2 linked regions of the Schizosaccharomyces pombe genome follow. The gene in region 1 interacts genetically with each later gene. Each region holds a gene or a part of one and is shown in the gene's direction. Other genes may lie near its edges.

The links.
Region 2: mutations in mxr1 (region 1) and met6 impair growth when combined (synthetic growth defect), as found in Schizosaccharomyces pombe (one study listed by BioGRID).

The regions. Positions count from the first base shown.
Region 1 is NC_003424.3:4,408,913-4,412,798, reverse strand, and holds mxr1 (peptide methionine sulfoxide reductase), read left to right. Parts: upstream 1-1,572; 5' UTR 1,573-1,626; coding exon 1,627-2,110; intron 2,111-2,165; coding exon 2,166-2,194; 3' UTR 2,195-2,407; coding exon of another isoform or gene 2,408-2,607; 3' UTR 2,608-2,608; coding exon of another isoform or gene 2,609-3,026; 3' UTR 3,027-3,121; downstream 3,122-3,886. Other genes in the region: SPOM_SPAC29E6.06C (cysteine--tRNA(Cys) ligase Crs1), read left to right, coding at 1-1,144. UniProt on the Schizosaccharomyces pombe protein: Has an important function as a repair enzyme for proteins that have been inactivated by oxidation. Catalyzes the reversible oxidation-reduction of methionine sulfoxide in proteins to methionine.
Region 2 is NC_003423.3:4,088,147-4,093,334, reverse strand, and holds met6 (homoserine O-acetyltransferase Met6), read left to right. Parts: upstream 1-2,086; 5' UTR 2,087-2,508; coding exon 2,509-3,974; exon of another isoform or gene 3,975-4,016; coding exon 4,017-4,056; 3' UTR 4,057-4,649; downstream 4,650-5,188. Other genes in the region: dolichyl-phosphate beta-glucosyltransferase Alg5, read right to left, coding at 1-795, 951-1,007. UniProt on the Schizosaccharomyces pombe protein: Commits homoserine to the methionine biosynthesis pathway by catalyzing its O-acetylation.

The DNA.
Region 1 (3,886 bases):
TCATCACGATAATGAGTTGGCACAAAGTGAGGCCTATTTTGACTGTCCCCAATGGGTGAATTATTTCTTTCATGCAGGTCATTTGCATATTGAAGGCCAGAAAATGTCTAAATCTCTTAAAAATTTTATCACTATTAAAGAAATTTTAAAGAAGTTTACACCTAGACAATTACGCTTGGCATTCTTACTTCAACAATGGAACACTCAACTCGATTTTAAGGAGACCCTTTTGGCATATGTCTTAAACATTGAACAAGCCTTAGAGAATTTCTTCCGGACTGTTAGAGCTCTCATGAATGAAACTGAAGGTGTAAGCGCTAATGGGGGTCACGTACCTGAAAAATTTGATAAGCTAGAAATTGAGTTACTTGAAAAATTCCAACAAACTCAGCAAAATACCCATCTTGCTCTTTGTGATAGTTTTAATACTCCTTTGGTCATGCAACACATTGATAATTTGGTTACTCAAGCCAACATTTATATTCGTGAAGTTGGTCAACAACCTTGCTCACGTTTACTTGGACAAATTGCATCATGGATCACTTCGATGCTCCAAATTTTTGGCCTCGATGAAAACGGCCACCCCAACGCTGTTGGATGGTCATCATCGAAAGGAAGTTCTTCGGAGAACACTGATGCCATGCCATACATTAGGGCTGTATCTTCATTCCGCGATCGTGTAAGGGAGCTTTGCATTGCTAAAGCTTCTTCTCAGGAGATTCTCAAAGCTTGTGATATATTTAGAGACTATGATATGGCTGCACTTGGTGTTAGTTTTAATGATCGTCCCCAAGGTTCTGCACTTGTCAAACTTGTTGATGCTGAAGAGTTAATTGCTGCTAGGGAGCAAAAGCTTGAAGAGGAGAGAGCTAAGCAAGCTAAGAAAGCACAAGCAAAAGCCGAACAGGAAAAGAAGCAAGTGGAACGTGTTATGAAGGGAAAGACATCACCATCAGAGATGTTTAAAATGTTCAAAGAATACCTTTCATTCGATGAAGCGGGTTTACCTACAAAAATGCGCGGCGAAGACGGCTCGGAAATAGACGTTCCCAAAAGCCGTAAGAAAAAATTGCAAAAAGAATACGCTCAACAAGAAAAATTACATAAGGAGTATTTGTCGTATATTGAATCTAACAAATCTTGAGTGCTAGTCATTTCTAGTGTTTGATACTGGTGTAAAAATAAGAGAGGAAGTCGAATTTTATAAAATCAATATAATACTACCTTTTACAGTGAACTCTTGTTTGTATTTTGATATATTGTTTTATTATAGCAATCTAATTCCCTCAGTGCGCATATCCTGATACAACTTGTAAATCGTTAGCCCTTAATCGCACTGATAGCTACTTTAATGAACAGGTTATGGATGAGTTGGAGATACTTCTTCGTAGATTCCGTAAGTTTAATATAGCAAAAAATGTATATATATATCTACCTCAACTTGCTCAAAGGCGTTTAGCGAGATATTTCACATATAGTAGCTTATTACCCTATTACCTCAATTAGTAATAATTAGCCGCTAAGCTTATGAATTGAAACATGAAGCACTGTTCGACGTTATACAAATTAATTATCCGCCTTTACCAATTCCATTACACATTTTCAAACATTTAAATATTTTAAAAAATGCAGATTGCTATTATTGCTGCTGGTTGTTTTTGGGGAGTCCAAGAAGTGTATCTTAGAAAGTTCATCCCTGCAGCTGCCATTTTAAAAACTTCTGTAGGATATACGGGAGGAATCACTGCAGATCCTACATACAAAGAAGTTTGTACTAATACTACTAATCATGCGGAAGCCTTAAAGATTGAATTCGATGAAAAATTGACTAGTTACGATAAGATTATTGAATTTTTCTTTGCCATGCACGATCCCACTACGTCTAATCAGCAGGGTAATGACATTGGTACTCAGTATCGTTCCGCAATCTTTACTACAAATCCTGAACAGGCAACCATTGCTAAAAGAGTCATGAACGAGGTGCAGGCAAAGCATTATCCTAATAAGAAAATTGTAACCCAAATTCTTCCAGCTGGTAAATGGTGGGATGCCGAAGATTATCATCAGCTTTACCTTGAAAAAAATCCTGATGGGTACAGGTGCAGCTCACGTATGAATATTAAATGCCAAGTAAACCAGAAAGTGTTACTAACTCATTCGATTAGATTTTTTGCGTTGGAATGTTTTTGAGTAAAAGTGACGAAACATAGATTGCGTGTTTCTTTTTCCATTTTGTTTTTCTTAAGTTGGGATTGCAAACTTAGTTATGTGGTACAGACCAAGACTGGTCTGAAGCTAAGTACGATGTCAAAATGCTACTTAATTAGTACTATTATTGTTGTGAGTTCCAAAAATCATATAGTTTTGTTCGCATATAATTATGCAACTGATTAGAAATTTACTTCTTTCAACGTTCTATATTTCCTTGTTCGTTGAGTGCATTAGTCCATGTAGAAGAAGGGTTTTGGATGTATGGAAGTAGATCATTAAGTGTATCATGTGCTTCTTTAGCTAAATTTTTTTCATTCATTCCATAAACTGTTTTCTCCAATTTTTGAATTAACGATTGCATTCTGGATATACAATCTTCAGTTGCTTTTTCTTCCCGCCGCGATCTGTGTCGATAACCCTTCATTTTCTTTGTCAATATCCAACAGATCCTGATTAAGCTTATCAAGAAGTTCTCTTTTATGAGAATACAAATGTGCTTTTAGAATTTCTTGAGGCTGTTTATTACTAATGTCAACCTCTGACTCTCCATGCAATTTGCGAAATTCAGCATCATGAATGCATTCATCTAGCATATCCAATTTTTTGTTTAAATCTCTTTCTTTAATCAGGTTTGCGTACTCTTGTTTACACGATTTCTCAAAGAACTCAATCAGCTGCTGATGGATGACTGCTATAACTTTCCCCTTTTTCATGGAAGGAAAACATTGTGCGAACTTTTCCAAAGGAATGTGAGCTATAGTTTCTGACAAAGTTCTCGATAAAAAGGCATCCAGCTGCTCCTTTCGACTAGTCATATAAAGTAATCCCAAATAATTTATAGTAATTTAAGCCTGAATTAGCGACAAAGATGAACTTGCGAAGCAATGAAAATACGTTTGAATAACAGCAACGTTACTATTTAGATTTTTTGTGTAAATCTATCTTAAATAAAAGAAATTATGAACGTATTACTGTAATTCAATTGTCTTTAATTCACTCCTAAATGGCATGGGTCCGAAAATATATATAAAATTGGTTCAGAATTAGCTTTTCCTAGTTGTTCTCAGATTTTTAAGTAAATTCACGTTTGTCGTGTGGTCCGGGAGAAATGCTTTGTTTACATTGAACATAGCGTAATGCATTGCAGTTTCTAATAATTTCTTATAAGCGAGGGCTAACTACTTTTATATTGGGGAACTTCTGACAGCTGAAATCCTGCTGTTTGCCTTTGCGTGCATTCGCTCACTTGATGGATATTTTTCATAAAAGTTACAATGTGATTCTATCACCTCCCAAAGTTCAGCAGGCGGATGAAACGATATCGAAGCTCTGTGATCGGTTGGAACATGCTACGCTTTTTGAAGATCGAAAAGCTGCTGCTCTCGGAATTAAGAGCTTTGCGAGAGAGTTTAAGGAGGTATGATTTTTTTAAATACTAGTTTGAGGTTGCTTTTTTATTTAATTTTGTTCGATTGGGACTAACAAATTTAGCTCGTGGCTGCTCATGGCTTAAAAGGCATAATTCAATCTTTACACAGAGACTATGATGATCCTGAACTTTTAAAAGTTACTTTAGAAACATGCTTAATTTTGACGCGACACGATGACGACTCAAGAGCTTCAGATACTGGGTTGTGGATAGCAGATCAGTTTATCCTGAACCAAGACAATATTC
Region 2 (5,188 bases), on another chromosome or scaffold:
GCCAACTTCATGCCAAGTAATGGGAACTTCAATGATAGGTAAACCGAAAAAACGAGCAAGTGTTAATACTTCAATATCAAAAATCCATCCTTCAACATGCATACGAGGGAAAATACTTTGATATGCCTCACGAGAAAAAAGCTTGAAGCCACATTGCGTATCGCCAATCTCCCTGATCCCTAAGATTTGTAAAAGTTTGTGAAAACAGTGCATCAAAAAGTTCCTAATAAATGAGCGCTTTACTACTGCAGCCGTGTTCACCATATGAGCACGCGAGCCAACAACGACACCACCCCTTGGTCCGGGTGGCATATTTTTAAAAAGGAGCTCCAAATCAGAAAATTGAGAAGCACCATCTGCATCAGCAAAAATTGCATATTGACCTCTAGCGTACAACATGCCCCAAGTTACCGCACCGCCTTTACCACGATTCCGTTTGAGTGAGCAAACTCGTAAATGATCCCGCAAATCCAGTTTGTTAGAAAACTCTAGCACTGCATTCACCGTCGTATCCTTACTCTCGTCGTCAACTATAAGGATCTCCCACCGACGTTGTCCTGCTGAAGAAGAGGAACGATAATATTTTTCCAAGTGATCGACTGTCTCTTGGAGCATGTTTCCGATTCGTTTAGACTCATTATACGCGGGAACAATGACCGTTATTTGTATATTATCAGAAGTGCTCCACTTCTCAAGAGTCAAACTTTTTTTTTGACCGTTCTCAATGAATACACATGTTTCCTCTCCTTCCAGTTGCTTCCTCGGGCAATGAGAATGAGTTAAATAATAGTAAACCTATATTTGGGTTAATGAATATTCGGGGAAAAATTTGGTCTAATGTCACATCAAAAAATCGAAAGTACAGATAAACTAAACAGGTTCTGCCCGCAACGACCTTATTTACCGACGGGTGGACATGAATGAGAAGCATGCTAGCTAATATTGCTTACCAAGAACAAAAGGATAAATCCCGCAAGGCAGGTGTATAAAACGATGTATACTACCATGTCGTAACTATGCAAAAAGCAGAAGGGTTAAGATTTATGATATTGGAAGAAATAACTCATTCAAAAAAAAAATTACTCCACTCCGTTTATACTCTAAGCTATTTTTTAATGAAATCCGAGCTTTTGCAGTTACAAAGCATGCGGTGGGATTATTTGTGTTTGGCTCTGGCTAACTGCCGACTGGACTGGACAACAGTAATCGTTTAGTCATAGCAGACGAATTTTTTAGTACGAGTTGGTGAGTAGCAGTCAACAACTTAAAATGTCTACTTTTACAAGCAATTAAGCATAGACATATCGATTACAATAGACTCTCATTGTTGCTCAACTTCTGATAGATCACAAAAGTCAAGCATACTTGTTATAATTATATAATTATTTTGACTATTTGGGAGACATTGTATTAAAAGAATAGGTGCCTTTACTCTTTCCTAAAAAACTTACATGACTGTAATTCTGCGTGGATATAAATATTTTTTCATGGAACATCGTATGATATATCTTACGGCTACTTAGTATTAAGGGCGCAAGTTGTTCAATTGCCTTAACCTTTTTGAATAGGATGAACTACAGGTTTGGCTGGGTCATAAAATATGTCTTGAGTATTCCTTCATTTGTAAATTGATAAACTAAAACACTTAACGTTGAAAACACTTGTTTAAAATTGGCTTCAAGTCAATTAATTGTAAATTTAAGGAAACTAGCAAGTAATCATTATTTAGACCAAGCGCCTGTTTATTTAACATTATTACACCTTTTCCTTATCGATTCGTTTATCTTCGAAAGTTGATCTCGCAGAGTCCTGATCCATGAAATGACTTTTTATAAAACATTAGCCTTTGTAATTTTTTTAATAAATTCATCCTTTTCATACATGATTTTACTGAAATTACGGTTAAAACTGTTATATTTATATAAGATAACAAAAAAGTCTCGTTGTTTGAATAGCATATTATGAAGTACCCGTATACCAAACTCGGTTATTGATTACCGTTCAATTAATGTTGTCTAACAAAATACTAAGCAGACCGTTAAATTAGGTTGAGATAAAAGTTTATAAACTTACCACTTCTCCTTTCACCATAACCGAATAGGAAAAAAAATCTTGGTATTCAAGTGTTTTTGGGTAACTTTGGAATTTAACAAATTAGCAAATATAGTTGCTTACCGTTCCTGGTACTAAAAAACCTAAAATTTTTATTGCTGCGCAATACCGTTAGTTTTGGTTTTTTTTCGTAAAAACTTTCTGGTTTTTCGATTTTTTGTTTTTCACGCTTAAAAGAAGAGAAGCTAATTGTATTTGCTTACTCAACACAAAAGCAAGTAATTCATTCTTTGTGTTAAACCTTACACTAATCTGCTTTTGTCAAAAAATTTTTTTTTGGTTATTTAAAACTCCTACCATTGAGTTTTGTTAGTTACATCTTTGAGAACTCAGTTCTATCAAAAAATTTAGTTTCTTTCATTTTTTCAAAATTTGACTATCAATCGTTTGATAAAAATGGAATCTCAATCTCCGATTGAATCAATTGTCTTTACTGACTCCTGTCATCCGTCTCAGCAAGAAAATAAATTTGTTCAGCTTATTTCAGATCAAAAAATTGCAATTGTTCCCAAATTTACGTTGGAGTGTGGCGACATCCTTTACGATGTTCCCGTTGCCTTCAAGACTTGGGGTACTTTGAATAAAGAAGGAAACAATTGTCTTCTTCTTTGTCATGCTTTAAGTGGTTCTGCTGATGCTGGAGATTGGTGGGGTCCTTTACTCGGTCCTGGTCGTGCGTTTGATCCATCACATTTCTTTATCGTATGCCTTAATTCTCTTGGTAGCCCATACGGAAGCGCCTCTCCTGTTACATGGAACGCTGAGACTCATAGTGTTTATGGGCCAGAATTTCCTTTAGCAACCATACGTGATGATGTAAACATCCATAAACTTATTTTACAAAGATTGGGTGTAAAGCAAATTGCTATGGCAGTAGGTGGCTCCATGGGTGGTATGCTGGTTTTGGAGTGGGCATTTGATAAGGAATTTGTGCGATCAATTGTTCCCATTTCTACCTCTCTTCGTCATTCCGCGTGGTGCATTAGCTGGTCTGAAGCGCAACGCCAGAGTATATATTCTGACCCTAAGTTTAATGATGGATACTACGGCATAGACGATCAGCCTGTAAGTGGCCTTGGAGCTGCTCGTATGTCTGCCTTGTTGACATATCGCTCCAAATGTTCTTTCGAACGTCGCTTTGCCCGTACTGTTCCTGATGCGTCTCGTCACCCCTATCCAGATCGTTTACCCACTCCTCTCACGCCCAGTAATGCACATTGGGTCGTTCACAACGAAGGAAACCGTAATCGCCGTGAACGACCTTGTCGATCCAATGGATCATCACCTACTTCTGAAAGTGCTTTAAATTCCCCCGCCTCTTCTGTCTCGTCTTTACCTTCTTTAGGTGCCTCTCAGACTACAGACAGTTCTTCCCTTAACCAGAGTTCGTTATTAAGACGTCCTGCTAATACTTACTTCTCTGCGCAATCGTATTTACGTTACCAAGCGAAGAAGTTTGTAAGTCGCTTTGATGCTAATTGTTACATTTCGATTACTAAAAAGTTGGACACCCATGATATTACTCGTGGACGCGGTTCAGACTCTCCTAAGGAAGTCATGAAGGATTTGTCTTTACCCGTACTCGTACTCGGTATTGAAAGCGATGGTCTTTTCACATTTGACGAACAAGTTGAAATTGCCAAATCTTTTCCCAATGCTACCTTGGAAAAAATTATTTCGGCCGAAGGCCACGACGGTTTTTTGCTTGAGTTTACTCAAGTAAACTCACATATTCAAAAATTCCAAAAGGAACATTTAATTGATATCATGTCTCAAACTAATTCCTTTGAGCGACTTGATTCCCAAGTTAATGATACCAACCGCGAAAGCGTTTTTGGAGAAATGGAAGACATAACCTCCTGGTAAGTAAAGTGTTTTTAGGATTGTTGATAACTTACCAATAGTTATCCTACTGGTTACCATCCTGGTGTTACAGTGGTATAAGTATCCTACGGACCAACGGCCTGGGGAGAAAGATCGTGTGCTAGTTTAGTCAACTTGAGGATTCAACTCCTCATGTATAAACACGATCACTTTCGTTAATGAGCTTGAAACGTATATTATGACTATTTTATTTAAAAAGGATGTTAATTTTCAAAACATGGTTTTTTTCGTTAGCTTTTCAACTTCTCATTCCACCTTTCTTTTCTTATTGTTTTGTCAATTTAGGTTCCTGCGGGCAGTGAATTAGAGAGCGATTGAGCTGGATGGTTTCCTTGTATGCCTTTCTTTAAGAAAGAAGAAAATGTAGTATACATTGATAGAAATTGCCAAAACCTTGTTAAACCTATTTCAACCCTTTCTGCATTCGTCTAACCGATTCTTGGATAGATATGCATCTTCTTGAAGAGTGATGCGTATATGGAAATATTCCAGTTGTATCTAGCGAAATCACTTTGCCACAATATGAAATTTGAAAATTACATTCTCACCCCTCCAACATGGGGACTAATTCTTTTTTAATGCCACCAAAAAAAATTCTATGAAGCGTTTGTTGATGGGATTTACAGTCGTTCAGTGTTTAATATATAGATTTTATAAAAACAATGTTTAATAAACTATTTTGTTTTTTTTTTGTTGAAAGTTTTATTTCGTGGATAAAGAGAATACAATTCGATATACTATGGAAAAACAAATGTAGCAATCCACCGTGGTATGAAGAGAGAGCAATACAGCATAGGATAAGATTATTGGAACTCGGACTAGGAAGCGGATATCTGGGGCAAAATCAAGATTGCTTCTTCCGGGTTCGTAGAGTTAGCGACAGATCCTTGCCGGTCATGAGGAAAAACAACGCACCGACCGTATCCAAGCTATGGTTTACATCACAACATACTGGGTCAATCATTTATGAAAGTGCTTATTTCGAGAACACAAAGCTCTATATTCACGTGCCTTTACACCGGACATGATAAAAATCTTGTTAAACTTGAAAAAGGAGTATTCTGGTGGTTTTGTTTACATTTTTATAACACAATACAAGCCGCTACGTTATCTTTCTTTTCCATCAGCTGTTACTTAGACGGAAGCACAAGAAGCAGTCACAAAGCAGTAGAGAGAAATTCAGTATATCTAG